Oryctolagus cuniculus: one gene and its partner. The protein of the gene in region 1 purifies or fractionates together with the protein of each later gene. This does not show direct contact. Links are inferred from orthologs where the notes say so. Each region holds a gene or a part of one and is shown in the gene's direction. Other genes may lie near its edges.

Evidence for each region. The genes of interacting proteins can lie anywhere in the genome.
Region 2: the proteins of DRG1 (region 1) and LRRC41 purify together in Homo sapiens (affinity purification with mass spectrometry; 3 studies listed by BioGRID and IntAct, counting the BioPlex papers as one, with this or other methods). This does not show direct contact. The link is inferred for Oryctolagus cuniculus from reciprocal best matches to the Homo sapiens genes DRG1 and LRRC41.

The regions. Positions count from the first base shown.
Region 1 is NC_091452.1:24,558,312-24,565,324, forward strand, and holds the end of DRG1 (developmentally-regulated GTP-binding protein 1), read left to right. Parts: intron 1-1,707; coding exon 1,708-1,875; intron 1,876-2,140; coding exon 2,141-2,263; intron 2,264-6,267; coding exon 6,268-6,367; downstream 6,368-7,013. UniProt on the Homo sapiens protein: Catalyzes the conversion of GTP to GDP through hydrolysis of the gamma-phosphate bond in GTP. Appears to have an intrinsic GTPase activity that is stimulated by ZC3H15/DFRP1 binding likely by increasing the affinity for the potassium ions.
Region 2 is NC_091438.1:126,470,206-126,477,975, forward strand, and holds the start of LRRC41 (leucine-rich repeat-containing protein 41), read left to right. Parts: upstream 1-3,534; 5' UTR 3,535-3,587; coding exon 3,588-3,786; intron 3,787-5,361; exon of another isoform or gene 5,362-5,691; intron 5,692-7,770. Other genes in the region: UQCRH (cytochrome b-c1 complex subunit 6, mitochondrial), read right to left, coding at 3,091-3,144. UniProt on the Homo sapiens protein: Probable substrate recognition component of an ECS (Elongin BC-CUL2/5-SOCS-box protein) E3 ubiquitin ligase complex which mediates the ubiquitination and subsequent proteasomal degradation of target proteins.

The DNA.
Region 1 (7,013 bases):
CGGAGTGTGCGGTCTGTGCTCTTGTGAATTTGAAGCCTTGTGGTGGAAACAGTACTGGAGTATGAATCGATTCTGAACTGCAGTTGTGCTGCTATCAGTTTTGGGCTTGGGTATTTTAGAAGTAAAATGAGGGATTGGTCTTCATTTTCTTTTTTTTAATTTATTTGAAAGAGAGCGAGAGAGAGATTTTCCGTGTACTTGTTCATTCCCCAAATGGCCGTGACAGTCTGAAGCTGGAAACCAGGAGCTTCTTTTGGGTCTCCCACGTGGGTAGCAAGGGTCCAAGTACTTGTGCCGTCCTCCACTGCTTTCCCAGGCACGTTAGCAGAGAGCTGGATTGGAAATGGAGCAGCTGGGACTTGAACTGATGCCCGTATGGGATACCAGCATTGCAGACAGCAGCTTTACCTGTAACACCACAATGCTGGCCCCAGGTCTTGATTTTCTTTTCTTTTCTTTTCTTTTCTTTTCTTTTCTTTTCTTTTCTTTTCTTTTCTTTTCTTTTCTTTTCTTTCTTTCTTTCTTTCTTTTTTTTTTTTTTTTTTGACAGGCAGAGTGGATAGTGAGAGAGAGAGACAGAGAGAAAGGTCTTCCTTTTGCTGTTGGTTCACCCTCCAATGGCCGCCGCGGCCAGTGCACCACGCTGATCCGATGGCAGGAGCCAGGTACTTCTCCTGGTCTCCCATGGGGTGCAGGGCCCAAGCACTTGGGCCATCCTCCACTGCACTCCCTGGCCACAGCAGAGAGCTGGCCTGGAAGAGGGGCAACTGGGACAGAATCTGGTGCCCCGACCGGGACTAGAACCCGGTGTGCCGGCACTGCAAGGCGGAGGATTAGCCTAGTGAGCCGCAGTGCCGGCCACCAGGTCTTGATTTCTAACATGCTTCCTTTCTCTGAAGTGTTGAAATCTCACGTGCCGGGACACAAACAGCACCTGTACGGGATGCCAGTCCTGCAGGCGGAGGTTTACCCTACTTCACCACAGCGCTGGCTCCAATAAATAAATCTTCAAAAAAACAAAAACAAGAGTAGAGGATGACCCAAGTCTTTGGGCCCATGCACCCACATGGGAGACCTGGAAGAAGCTCCTGGCTCCTGGCTTTGGATCAGCGCAGCTCCAGCTGTTGCAGCCATTTGGGGAGTGAACCATCAGATGGAAGACCTCTCTCTCTCTCTCTCTCTGCCTCTGCCTCTCTGTAACTCTGCCTTTCAAATAAATAAAATAAATCTTAAAAAATAAGAATCAGGCTCAGACCAGTACTTCTGTATGGGGTGCTGGCATCAAGCAGCGGCTTAACTTGTCGCACAACAGCACGGGCCTCAGTTCACTCTCCTGATGACCACAGAAACCAAGTCTGGACCAGGCTGAAGCCAGGAGCCAGCCAGTCCATCCTAGACTCTGATGTGGGGCCCAGACGCTCGGACTGTCTCCCACTGCCTTCGAAGTGCACGAGCAGGAAGCTGGGTCTGAGAGCAGAGCAGTGTGGACTTAGGCAGTCACAAACCCCGTGGTGCGCAGTGTGAACAGGGCCTGCGTGAATTCTCAACTCAGACTCCACGGTTAACAGTTTCTACTCATTCTTTTTTAAAGCAGGGAGTTGTTGATTAAGTCCCGATTTGGGGCCTGAGGGAGGAGGTGCTGCTCATTAGACTCACAATTTTGTCAGCAACTGCAGGCTAATTCCCTCTTTCTTTTCTGCTTCATAGAGTTTATATCCCTTGTATCTATGTTTTAAACAAGATTGATCAGATCTCCATTGAGGAACTGGATATCATCTATAAGGTGCCTCACTGCGTGCCGATCTCTGCCCATCACCGCTGGAACTTCGATGACCTGTTGGAGAAGATCTGGGACTACCTGAAACTAGTGAGGATGTGAGTCCTTGTGCGTGGCTGCTGCTGCTGCGGGAGGGAGGCCAGACTGCCTTAGGAAGATCCCTCTGGAGCTCCTGCGCACGATCTCGCCGTGTTCTGTGACACACGGAAGTCGGCTTCGTCATCGCTAGGTCACATTGAGGGTGCTTTCTTCCCCAGGGGGGAGGTTATCCTGGTCCGACCTCGGGGTGCTGCGGGATTGGTTGGCATCCCACATGTGAAGCGTTCTAAGTAGGTGTAACCTCTGTCGCCCCCTCTCTCCTAGTTACACCAAGCCCAAGGGCCAGTTGCCGGATTACACGTCCCCGGTGGTGCTGCCGTACTCGAGGACCACGGTGGAGGATTTCTGCATGAAAATTCACAAGAATCTTATCAAGGAGTTTAAGTAGTAAGTAGCAAGGGCACGTGGGACCGCCTTTGCTTTGTGAGCCCCTGCCTTCACATGCAGTCTCAGGACCGCGTGAGGGCTCGGTGTGTCGGCGGACAGGGAGAGCTCCGGAGGTCAGCAGGGCGCTGCTGCCAAGGGGCTTTCATTTCCCTTCATTAATTCATCTTGGTGGCAAGCACAAAGATGGATTCTCCCTGCCAGGTTATCGTGGCCTCCACTGGGTACTGACTCCTCCTCTAAAACTTAGAATCCCTGTGATCTTTTCTTTTTCTTCTTCTTCTTATTGTTATTATTTTTGACAGGCAGAGTGGACAGTCAGAGAGAGAGAGAAAGGTCGTCCTTTTCTGTTGGTTCACCCCCCAATGGCCACTGCAGACAGCGCACCGCGCTGATCCACAGACAGGAGCCAGGTGCCTCTCCTGGTCTCCCATGGGGTGCAGGGCCCAAGCACTTGGGCCATCCTCCACTGCACTCCCGGGCCACAGCAGAGAGCTGGCCTGGAAGAGGGGCAACTGGGACAGAATCCGGTGCCCCGACCGGGACTCGAACCCGGTGTGCCGGCACCGCAGGCGGAGGATTAGCCTATTGAGCCATGGCGCCGGCTTGATCTTTTTTTTAAATTTTTTTTTTAAGATTTATTTTATTCATATGAAAGAGTTACAGAGAGAGAGGCCGAGCGAGAGACAGAGTGGTCTTCCATTCTGTTGGTTCACTCCCCAAATTACCACAATGGCCAGAGCTGAGATGATCTGGAGCTAGGAGCTTCTTCGGGGTCTCCCACGTGGGTGTAGGGTCCCAAGGACTTGGGCCATCTTCTACTGCTTTCCCAGACCATAGCAGAGAGCTGGATCAGAAGTGGAGCAGCTGGGACTTGAACTGGTGCCCATATGGGATGCTGGCGCTGCAGGCTGGGGCTTTAACCCGCTGTGCCTCAGCGCCAGCCCCTCCCTGTGATCTTTTTCTTTAACTTTTCACTACTGATAGCAGCTCAAAACTGTTTTAAAAGATTTATTTATTTGAAAGTCAGAGTTACACAGAGAGAGGAGAAGCAGAGAGAGAGGGAGGGAGAGAGAGGGAGGTCTTCCTTCTGATGGTTCACTCCTCAATTGGCCGCAACAGCTGGAATTGCGCCAATCCAAAGCCAGGAGCCAGGAGCTTCTTCCAGGTTTCACACGCGGGTGCAGGGGCCCAAGGTCTTGGGCCATCTTCTACTGCTTTCCCAGGCCATAGCAGAGAGCTGGATCGGAAGTGGAGCAGCCGGGTCTCGAACTGGCGCCCATACAGGGTGCCGGCACTTTAAGCCAGGGTATTAACCTGCTGCGCCAAAGCGCTGGCACTCAGCTCAATACTTTAAAAAAAATTTTTTTGAACTAATTTCAGGTTTACAGAAAAGGGGCAAACAGAAAAAAGCACAAAAAGAGTTTACTTTTACCCCTCACCCCACTTGTGACAATAGCAGCTTCCGTTACTGTGTACTCCAGATACCACGGGCCGGACGTAGACTTTGGCACTGCACCATTCACTGAATTACAAATCTTACTTGAAATGTACTGCTTCTCCTGCCAGTGTCTGTTTTATGTTCCAGGAACCTACATGGCATGGAATTGTTAGTTTTTCTTAGCCTTCCAGTGTTCTAGACCCCCAGTATTTCCTTAGATTTTCACTCTTTGATGACCTTGATGCTTTTATTTATCTTTTTATTGTTATTTTTAAGGATTTATTTAAAAGGCAGCAAGAGAGGGAGACAGATCTTCCACCTGTTGGTTCACTCCCCGGATGGACACAATGGCCAGGCCAAATCCCAGAGCCTGAAACTCCATCTGGGTCTCCCACATGGGTGCAGGGGCCCAAACACTTGGACCATTTTCTGCTGCTGTCCCAGGAGCATTAGCAGGGAGCTGGGTTGGAAGCAGAGCAGCTCAGACCTGCGCTCATAAGGGAGGCTGGTATTGCAGGTGGTGGCTTAACCTGCTGCACTACAACACCAGTCCCTGATCTTGGCTTTTTTTTTTTTTTTTTTAAAGATTTATTTATGTATTTGAAAGGCAGAGATAGAGATCTGCTGGTCCACTCCCCAAATGGCTTCCATGGCCAGAGCTGGGCCAAGGCTGAAGCCAGGAGCCAGGTGCCTCTTCCTGGTCTCCCATGCAGGTGCAGGGCCCAAGGACTTGGGCCATCCTCCACTGCCTTCCTGGGCCACAGCAGAGAGCTGGACTGGAAGAGGGGCAACCGGGACAGAATACAGCGCCCCGACCAGGACTAGAACCCAGGGTGTTGGAGCCACAGGCAGAGGATTAGTCAGTGAGCCATGGCGCTGGCCATTTCTTTCTCTTTTGAAGTTTAAAATTTATTTATTGGAATTCTCCTGTGAGTTAGAGCTGTCACTTGTCCCCTGTTTATTTAATCCATAATGTATATTGGTATGAACTCTTGGATTTTTGGTCTGTAGGCTGTCATCTAATATTTGTTGCTTTGGACATGAGCAACTCTTTTATCTTCTGTGTTGTGTTTTTTTTTTTTTTTTTTTTTTTTTTTTTTTTTTTAATTTGAAAGGCAGGGTTACAGCGATGGAGGGGGAGACAGTTTCTGTCTGCTAGCTTACTCTCTAACTGGCCACATTGGCCCAGGCTGTGCCAGGCTGAAGCCAGGAGCCTGGAACCGTCTCATGTAGTTGGCAGGGGCCTAGGTACTTGGGCCATCCTTGGCTGCTTTCCCAGGCTCATCAGCCGGAAGCTGGCTTGAACAATAGCAGTTTTGCTGGGACTCCAGCCAGCACTTCCATATACATTGCTGATGTTGCAAGTGGCAACTTAACCCACAGTCCCAGTTGTTGGCCCCTTGTGTTGCTATTGATAATTTTCGAAGACTTTACTATAGAAGTAGCATTGATACTTAAATGGTTTTTGCTGTGTTTTTACTTTCCAGAACAGCTGAACTGTTTACATTTGTAAAATGATCACTCTGTACTTAAATATGTTTGTTAGTGCATTTGAAAATTTTTGTTTGTTGGGGTCAGTGTTTTGAGTGCAGTGGGTCGAGCTGCTCTCTACTTCCAATTCCGTTCCCTGCTATTGTTCCTTGGGAGGCAGCAGATGATGGCCAAGTACTTGGACCCTGCCACCCTCATGAGAGACCTGGATGGACCTCTTGACTCTTGGCCTCAGCCTGGCTCAGTCCTGGCTGTTGCGGCCATTTGGGAGAAAACCAGTGGATGGAAGACCTCTCTGTCCCTCCCTGTCTCTCTGTAACTGTCTTTCAAATAAATAAACCTTTCAAACTTTTATTTGTATTAATTTATATCTATTACTGATATGTGTTTTTTTTAAAACGTGGTCTTTTCTTTGTTGATTTCTTACTGGACTATAAAATTTTAAAGAAGTTTTAGTGCAGTAACAATGTAACATAATATGGCCACTTTTTCTCTTTGCCCCTTGTTGCCTAGTCCTCAGTCTGTGGGAGGCAGTCAGTGTTATGTTCAGTAAATTCCCATCTCTCTCAGAGCACACTGTGCATTTTGGAGGCTTGTGGATATAAATTACCATCCTATAGTCCAAGAATCTGGATGGAGCCCATTCCAATTGACAGTTTTCTGATAGGGAAGGAAGGGTTTCATAGCGTGGCTGAGGAGGGAGACTTGAGTCTGGTCTGTACCCACTGATGGAAATTTTCTCCAACCCTCTGTAACTGACACTGTGTGACTGACAAGCCATCTCAATCTGATGTTTTGAGGGTATTTCTTAGTAATAAATCCATGCTTCGGGTTTACTGAATCTTTGAAATTTCCACCTCTTCTCTTGACGTTACGCACGTGCACTGTCCCTGACTTTAGGTTGGACTGAGGAGGCAGGTGAGCGCTGCCTGGTGTGCTGTCTGTGGCAGCCGCTGCCGTAGGGCTGTGGCTCTGCAGGGCTGGGGTGCTCGGTGAGAGCAGAGTGCGGCCCTCGGCAGACGGCGCAGAGCGGGGTTCGCGTTTCCGCTGACTGTCCTTTCTTCCTCCCATACAGCGCTCTGGTCTGGGGTCTCTCTGTGAAGCACAACCCTCAGAAAGTGGGTAAAGACCACACGCTGGAGGATGAGGACGTCATTCAGATTGTGAAGAAGTGAAACCTGCCCTTACCTGTCAGCCGAGACAGCCACGGCGGCTTTCGCCACGACCCAGCGCCGTCTCCCAGCTCCTGGCAGGGGCAGCCGCTGGATCAGGACTCGGGAGGGAGAGGAAGGCGCCCGAACAACTTGACCTGTCTTTTCCTGGTTCACCTTGTGTGTTGAGCTGCATAAAGGAATCCGGTAGGGCTGTCGGCTGCGTGCAGTTCATGTGTCAGCACCGGAATCTTGGGGCTGAGTTGAACGAGGAAGAGCGTGTGCAGTGAGGCCGATGCCAGAGGGATGCTTGGTAGCTTGCTCTGAATGTGAAATGGCTAGAGGCGTGACACACAACATCCTAGTTGATGTTTATCTTTATTTTTCTTAGATTTATTTATGAATTTATTTGAAAGAGTTAGAGGAAGAGACATCTTCTGTCTGCTGGCTTACCCCCCAGGTGGCTGCAACGGCCAGCACTGGGCCTGGCTGAAGCCAGGAGCTTCATTGGGGCAGGAGGTCTCCCATGTGGGTAGTAGGGACCCAAGCACTTGGGCCATCCTTTGCCACTTTCCCAGGCCATTAGCAGGGACGTGGATCGTAAGTGGAGTAGCCGGGACTCTAACCAGTACCCATACCGGATGCCAGTGTTGCAGGCAGCAGCTTTACC
Region 2 (7,770 bases), on another chromosome or scaffold:
CTCCAAATGCCTGCAATGACTGGGCTGGGGTCAAAGCTGGGAACACAATTCAGACCTGAAAAAAATTCAGGTCTTTCATGTGGTGGCAAGAGCCCAGTTACTTGTGTCATCACCTGCTGCTTCCCAGGTCTGCTCCAGCAGGCTATGCTCAGGAGCCAGAGGGAGGACTTAAACTCAGGTACTCCAGTGTGGGATGTGTGCATTTTAACCAGCACCTTAACTACTATGCTGCAGCCCACTCCATGAACAAGGTCTCTTAACCTTTTTTTTTTTTTTTTTTTTTTTAAGATTTACTTATTTATTTGAAAGGCAGAGCTACAGAGAGGCAGAGAGAGAGAGAGAGAGAGACTTCAATCCACTGATTCACTCCCAGTTGGCCACAATGGCCGGAGCTGTGCCGATCGGAAGCCAGGAGCCAGGAGCCTCTTCCAGGTCTCCCACGCGGGTGCAGCGGCCCAAGAACCAGGGCCATCCTCCACTGCTTTCCCAGGCCATAGCAGAGAGCTGGATTGGAAGTGGAGCAGCCAGGACTTGAACCACATGAACCGGGGCCCACATGCACTGCAGGTGGTGGCCCTACCCACCACACCACAGCTCTGGACCTCTTAATCTTTTCTTTTAAAAAAAAATTCACGCCGGCGCCACGGCTCACTAGGCTAATCCTCTGCCTTGCGGCGCCGGCACACCGGGTTCTAGTCCCGGTCGGGGCGCCGGATTCTGTCCCGGTTGCCCCTCTTCCAGGCCAGCTCTCTGCTGTGGCCCAGGAGTGCAGTGGAGGATGGCCCAAGTGCTTGGGCCCTGCAACGCATGGGAGACCAGGAGAAGTAACTAACTCCTGCCATCAGATCAGCGCGGTGCGCCGGCTGCGGCGTGCGCGGCCATTGAAGGGTGAACCAACAGCAAAGGAAGACCTTTCTCTCTGTCTCTCTCTCTGTCCACTCTGCCTGTCAAAAAAAAAAAAAAAAAAAAAAAAATCACACTGAGGGGCTGGCTCTGTGGCATATTGAGTAAAATTGCCTCCTGCAATGCCCGCATCCCAGATGGGTGCCAGTTGAGACCTGGATGCTCCACTTCAGGTCCAGCTCTCTGCTAACGCTCCTGGGAAAGCAGTAGAAGACGGCCCAAGCTCCTGGCTTCAGCTTGGCCCAGCCCTGGCTGTTGTAGGAGTGAACCAGCAGATGGAAGATCTCTCATTTTGCCTTTCAAATAAATAAATAAAATTTTTTTAAATCCATACTGAAAAAGTCTTCTCCCCAAAACCAAAAATCACACTGTCTTAAGTTAGAAACTAGAAATAAATATTATATATTATATAAGACCTTTATAGCATCCCACTTATTAGCAGTGCTACAGCACTGACAAACCTGTGTCAAAAATATCATGGCACATTTTGGAAACACAGATCTGCTTCATGTAAAATTTCCAGTCAGTGAGAAAATGAAGGTCATGTTAAAGAAAAAGACATAATCCCCAGCAATGATGGGTTCTTCATAAAACACCCTAGCTTTCTTTATTTTCAAGTTGTGGTGGTCCGGGCTGGCAGTGTGGTGCAGCAGGTTAAAGCTCCAGCCTGCAGTGCTGGCATCCCATATGGGCACCAGTTCAAGTCCTGGCTGCTCCACTTCCAATCCAGCTCTCTGCTAGGGCCTGGGAAAGCAGTAGAAGATGGCCCAACTCCTTGGGCCCCTGCACCCACGTGGGAGACCGGGAAGAAGCTCCAGGCTCCTGGCTTTGGATAAGCTCAGCTTTGGCTCTTGCAATCATTTGGGGAGTGAACCAGCAGATGGAAGGACCCCCCCCCCCCACACACACACACTCTGTACTCTCTGCACTGTCTCTACCTCTCTCTCTGTGTCTTTCAAATAAATAAAATAATTCTTTTTTTTTTTTTTTTTTTTGACAGGCAGAGTGGACAGTGAGAGAGAGAGAGACAGAGAGAAAGGTCTTCCTTTGCCGTTGGTTCACCCTCCAATGGCCGCCGCGGCCGGCGCGCTGCGGCCGGCGCACCGCGCTGATCCAATGGCAGGAGCCAGGAGCCAGGTGCTTTTCCTGGTCTCCCATGGGGTGCAGGGCCCAAGCACCTGGGCCATCCTCCACTGCACTCCCTGGCCACAGCAGAGAGCTGGCCTGGAAGAGGGGCAACCGGGACAGAATCCGGCGCCCCGACCGGGACTAGAACCCGGTGTGCCGGCGCCGCTAGGCGGAGGATTAGCCTAGTGAGCCGCGGCGCCGGCCAAATAAATAAAATAATTCTTAAAAAAAAAAAAAAAGTTGTGGGTACCACTGAACTTTCCAAGGCTGGTTCCAGCTCTTTCTGAAAATAAGAGTAGGAAAAAAATTAAGGGATAAATGGGATAAATGGCTGTCCTGAAGTGTTCAAATAAATACAGGGAATGAGGCTGGAAACGCGAAGCCAGTGACGTCTGCGTAGCTGTGCGGCACTGTGGCTGAGTCCCGGCTTCAGAACTGTGCGGCTGGGCTCGATTCCTGCTTCACCGTTTCCTGTGTGTCCTTAGACAAGATACTTAACCCGTCTGTGCTACTTTCCTCGCCTGAACAAATGGTACTAACACGTCTTTTAGGACACACTATTTTTAAAAATATCAGCAACTTTGTAGATGAAATGAACTAGTACATAGAAAGCACTCGGAATAGCAAGCAGTTCACACACACTCTTTATGTCGGCGTCTGGTCTGGGGAAGAACTCCCTTTCACCACATTCCTACCCTGTTCCCCAAGACACAACCTCTCTCCTAGCCCCAGCCCCAGGAAAGAAAGAAAAGCCAGTTTCCACCAGGATCAGGCCAGATCTCCCAAACCAATACTGTTTTTACAAAAGTTGATACAGCATTTTCGATCTCGTCACATTTCCACATTTATAGAATGGGGAAGCCGAGGCCACAGAAGGACTAGTCATCCACCTGTCCAGAGCCACTAGGCGAATTCGAGGAAGGGTCGAGGAAATTCGCTCGATCTACAAACCCCAGGGAGGAACCCGAGGCCAAGAGGACCCCGAGCGTGTTTTGGCGGGCTAGGTCCTGCGCTTCACTCCCCAAAGGCAAGAGGGTCGAGCCGATCTCGTTGTCTTACCTCCTTGGGATCTCCGGCCCCGGTCAGCATCTTTTGCTCATCCTCCAGTCCCATGTCCGCCTACGGTTCTGGATTCAACAGCAGCAGCCACACGGTACCCACTCCAGTTGGGGATCAAGAAGGACTTGTAAGGGTCACTCGACGGATATCCGGCAATCTGGCCGGAAGTGCGGCATACTCCTCGTAGTCGCGAACACACGCTCTGATCGGCATGTACTATCGGCCAGAGGCAGAGGGTAGGGGGAGCTGGTATTTGTGCCTGAGGAGTCTTTACGAAGCAACATCCATTTAGTCATTCCAGACCCAAATGTTCTGATCTAAGAGGTTTTTTAAAAATAGTATGTCCTAAAAGACGTGAAGAATCTGCAAACTTATTCCACATTTCTTTTGCGCAGTTCCTGTTCTTACCTATATTGCTTATGGAGTCGTCCTAACTGCTGACCTTTTCAAGATGGCGGTCGGCGGACGCCGCTCTCGGGCTCGCGCACCTCCCCAAGATGGCGGCGCCCGAGGCCTGGCGCGCCCGGAGTTGCTGGTTCTGTGAGGTAGCGGCGGCAACGACCATGGAGGCCACGTCCCGGGAGGCGGCGCCAGCGAAGAGCTCGGCCTCGGGCCCCAGCGCTCCCCCCGCCCTGTTCGAGCTGTGCGGGCGGGCGGTGAGCGCCCATATGGGGGTTCTGGAGAGCGGGGTGTGGGGTAAGTCGCGGGGTGAGGGGCTACCTCTGGCAACGAGCGGGGGCGGCCCAGCGGCCAGGGGGCGCGGGGGGCGAGGCCGGGAGGCCCCGGGCAAGGCCCAGCCCCGGGCACTGGAAGCCCGATTGTAGGGTCGGAGCATGAATTCCATGACTGACAGGGCTGGACAGAGTAAAGAAGGAGACTAAATGGGCAGGTGGACCTGCACGGCGGCCTGACTTGGGGGCGCGGGGGGCGAGGCCAGGAGGCCCGGCGAGGGCGAAGGAGGCAGGGCCCGGGCGACAGAGGCTACACTGGCGAGCATGAGCCGTGGGTGCCGAACTGACACTCGGCTGAGCCGGGCTGGGGAACCTCGGATGTCGGACCGACGTGCAAGGGATAGCCCGGCTGTCCAGGCCAGGGACCGAGGTTGAGAGGCCTGGCCTAAGGCAATGAGGCCAGGCCCAGGGCCACCCAGCCCGACTGACGGCCCGGGGCCCCAGGCGTCGGCCTGACACCCCGCCAGTGCCAGGCTCTGGAGCCCACGCCGATGGGCGGGGGTGCGGCCGCGGATTGGAGAGCAGGGGAGTGGGGCTGAGGGAGAAGCCGAAGGGCTCGGGTCGCCGCGGCCTGTCCGACGGTGCCGGGCTGACGACCCGGCCTCGGGTGCCAAGCGGATCGAGCGGCGGAGCAGCCGGCGCGTCTGAGAACGCCGGAGGCCACTCGGATCTGCCGGAGTGGCCAGGGAGGCCGGAGAGCGGGCGGAGAGGGCCCGGGGCGGCTCAGCCAGCGAGGGAGGCTCGGACGTCGGGCGGGCTGGAAGGGCCCAGGAGGCCCCGGGTCGGGGATATCCCGGACTGTCCGGCCGGAATGGGAGGGGTGCGTCGCGGCGGAGAGGCCTTGAGGCCTTGGGCCAAATGGAAGTGACCGGAGGCCCTGGGCGTGAGGGCGGCCGGGAGCACAGGCCCGGGCCGCGGCGGAGGACATCCAGGCTGAAGAGCTAAGGCGCGCGGGTTGGGGCGCTGGGATGAGCGGCCGGGCAGGGTTGTGGGCCCGGGAGTCTGGCGGGCCGGGAGCGGAGGCCGGGAGGCCTGCTTGCCCGATGGGCCCGAGGAGGCCGTGTGTGGGGTGGGGCGGTGAGGAGTACCTGGGGAGTGAAAAGGGGAAAGTGAGGGTTGTGCGAAGCAGGCCTGGCTGCTGGGGGGGGGGGGGGGGTGTCGAGGGAGGCCTTGAGCCTGACAGTCTGCTGCTGTGAGGGGGAGGGGTCCCCGAGGCCAGGGCTGGAGCTGAGTGAGGAGTAGGCCAGGCCCATGGCCTGGAGGAAGAGGGGTGCAGGAGTGGAGGTTCTGGGTCAGGGGAGGGAAGGGGGCGTTTTTGCTGGGAGTAAGGCCCTGCTCAGGTCAGAAGTGGCGGCTTGAGGCCCCACTGTGGGGTTTGGAGGTGTGAGGTTGCACTGTGAGGAGGGGAATGGGGGAGAAAGGCCTGGGGTTTAGGGGGTTGGGGCTCCAGAATAAACTCCAAGGCTCTGGAGAGTGGTCAAGGAGGCCCTTGGTGGTGGGAGTGGGGCACCCTGGTGGGGGTGGGGAGAGGCCCTGTGCCAACAGCTGGGAAGGGTCAGGCTGACCGGTGGAAATTGGGAGAAAGATCCCTGAGGAGTTGAACAGGGGGCTCAGAAAAGGCCTGGGGAAGTTGGAAGAAGTCAGAGAGGGGCAGCATCAGCCTGGATGCCAAACCTGGCTAGAAGGGGGAGGCAGCTGCTTGTGGACCCCCACACTGGGAAAAGGAGGCATTAAAGGTGTAGTCTGGAAGGAAGCAAGCAAGACACTGGCTTATGAAGACTGGAGAAACAGGAGCTTGAAATAGGACATGAGAATTCCTGTGGCTGTCAGAGGGGATGGCTAAACAGGGGGCAGAATGGAGGGAGAAGAGGTAAGGGTCTGGAAGAACTTCCTTCTGTGTTGCTCCCCCCACCCCACCCCCCACCCCGCGCGCAAAACAATCAACTGAAAGTTTACTAAATTTCCTCCCCCACCACCCTCCTCCCTTGCTGTATGTACCAGCCAAATTGAGAGGCAGGAGAAAGAGTTGTGCCTAGACCAGGTCAGAGTCACACAGAAAAATGTGGATCAAATGAGGCCTTTTAGAAGAAGGGTCAAGAAAGAGGCCTGCTAAGCAGTGCTCCTGTGGATAAAGGTCTCAGCAAGGGCTGGGAAACAGCCTGGAAAGGCTTCAGAGAGGCAGTGGACCAGCATTGCTTTGTGTAAGGAGTGGGGAAGGGGCAGTGAGTAGAGGCAGCAAGAAAGGGTACAATGAGGAAACCTAGGTGGAATAAAGTATATTAGACTGTAAATGCCAGGTGTGAGATGGATGCAGTAGAACCTTTGAAGTGTTATTTAAACATGTAGAACCTTTGAAGTGTTATTTAAACATGTTTTCCCTTTTTCCAGTTGCATCTTATTTATTTTACTCTTATTTGAGAGACAGAGAGCGCTCCCATCCACTGGCTGGTTTACTCCCCCAGTCCCTACAATGGTGGGAGCTGGGGACAGGTTGAAACCAGGAGCCTGGAAGTCAAGCTGGATCTCATGTTGGGGGCATGGACTCAACTACTTGAGCTGTCACCTGCTGCCTCCTAGGATGAGCGTTAGCAGGAAGCGGGAATCAGGAGCAGAGCTGGGGCTCAAACTCAGGCACTTTGATGTGGGGTGAGGGCATCCCAAGCAGTATCTTAACTGCCAGGCCAAACACCCACCCTTTTTGAGGGGTTTGAAGAGGGGAATGTCATCACCAAGAGCAGGATACAGCGAGACTGAGGTTAGGAGAGCAATTAGAATGTTGCAATAGGCCAGCGCCGCGGCTCAATAGGCTAATCCTCCACCTAGAGGCGCCGGCACACCAGGTTCTAGTCCTGGTCGGGGCGCCGCATTCTTTCCCGGTTGCCTTTCTTCCAGGCCAGCTCTCTGCTGTGGCCTGGGAATGCAGTGGAGGATGGCCCAAGTGCTTGGGCCCTGCACCCCATGGGAGACCAGGAGAAGCACCTGGCTCCTGCCTTCGGATCAGCACGGTGCGCCAGCTGTGGCGGCCATTGGAGGGTGAACCAACGGCAAAAAGGAAGACCTTTCTCTCTGTCTCTCTCTCTCACTATCTACTCTGCCTGTCAAAAAAAAAAAAAAAAAAAAAAAAAAATGTTGCAATAGTCCAAATGATAGGTGATGTGTGTTAGTAAAATGGTGCAGTCCTATCTGTGGTGTGATCTACACCCCGGACACCATCCTTGGCCCTAGCCCCTGCTGCCATTGCTAGAAGCCAGGTGACCACATGGCCCAACCACAGGTGTCAGCTCTACCCCTACCCTAATGGGATTTGCTGCTCCTATTTCCCTGCCCCCCAGAAAGGTCTAAAAGGACCTGCTTCCTGCACACGTGTGCTCTCTACAGATCTATCTCTGTCAGCCCCCCCCCCCTTCCTCCAGCCTACTGGACTTCCCCTATCAATAAACCCTTTCCCTTAACTCTGGTGTTTGGTGTGTTTTGTGATGGCCTTACAATGTGGCCTGGGTAAGTGTAATAGCATAGGGAAGTAACACTTCCAGCATGTACATTAAGTACCTACTATGTATAAAGAATTGTGCTAAATTCTTAGATATCAAGATTCAGTTATTGGGGCTGATGTTGTGGCGTAGCGAGTAAAGCTGCTGCCTGCAACACCAGCATCCCATATGAGTGCTGGGTTAGATTCCTGACTGCTCCACTTCCCATCCAGCTCCCTGCTAATGAACCTGGGAAAGCAGTGGGAGATGGCCCAAGTGATTGGGCCCGTGCACCCACACAGAGATCTCGAAAAAGATTCTGGCTCCTGGCTTTGGATCTGCCCAGCTCTAGCCATTGTGGCCATTTAGGGAATGAACCAGTGAATGGAAGGCGGTTTCTCTCTGTGTAACTCTGCCTTTCAAATAAATAAATAAATCTAAAAAATTTAGTTATTATACAAGGAAAGATAAAAGGAGAC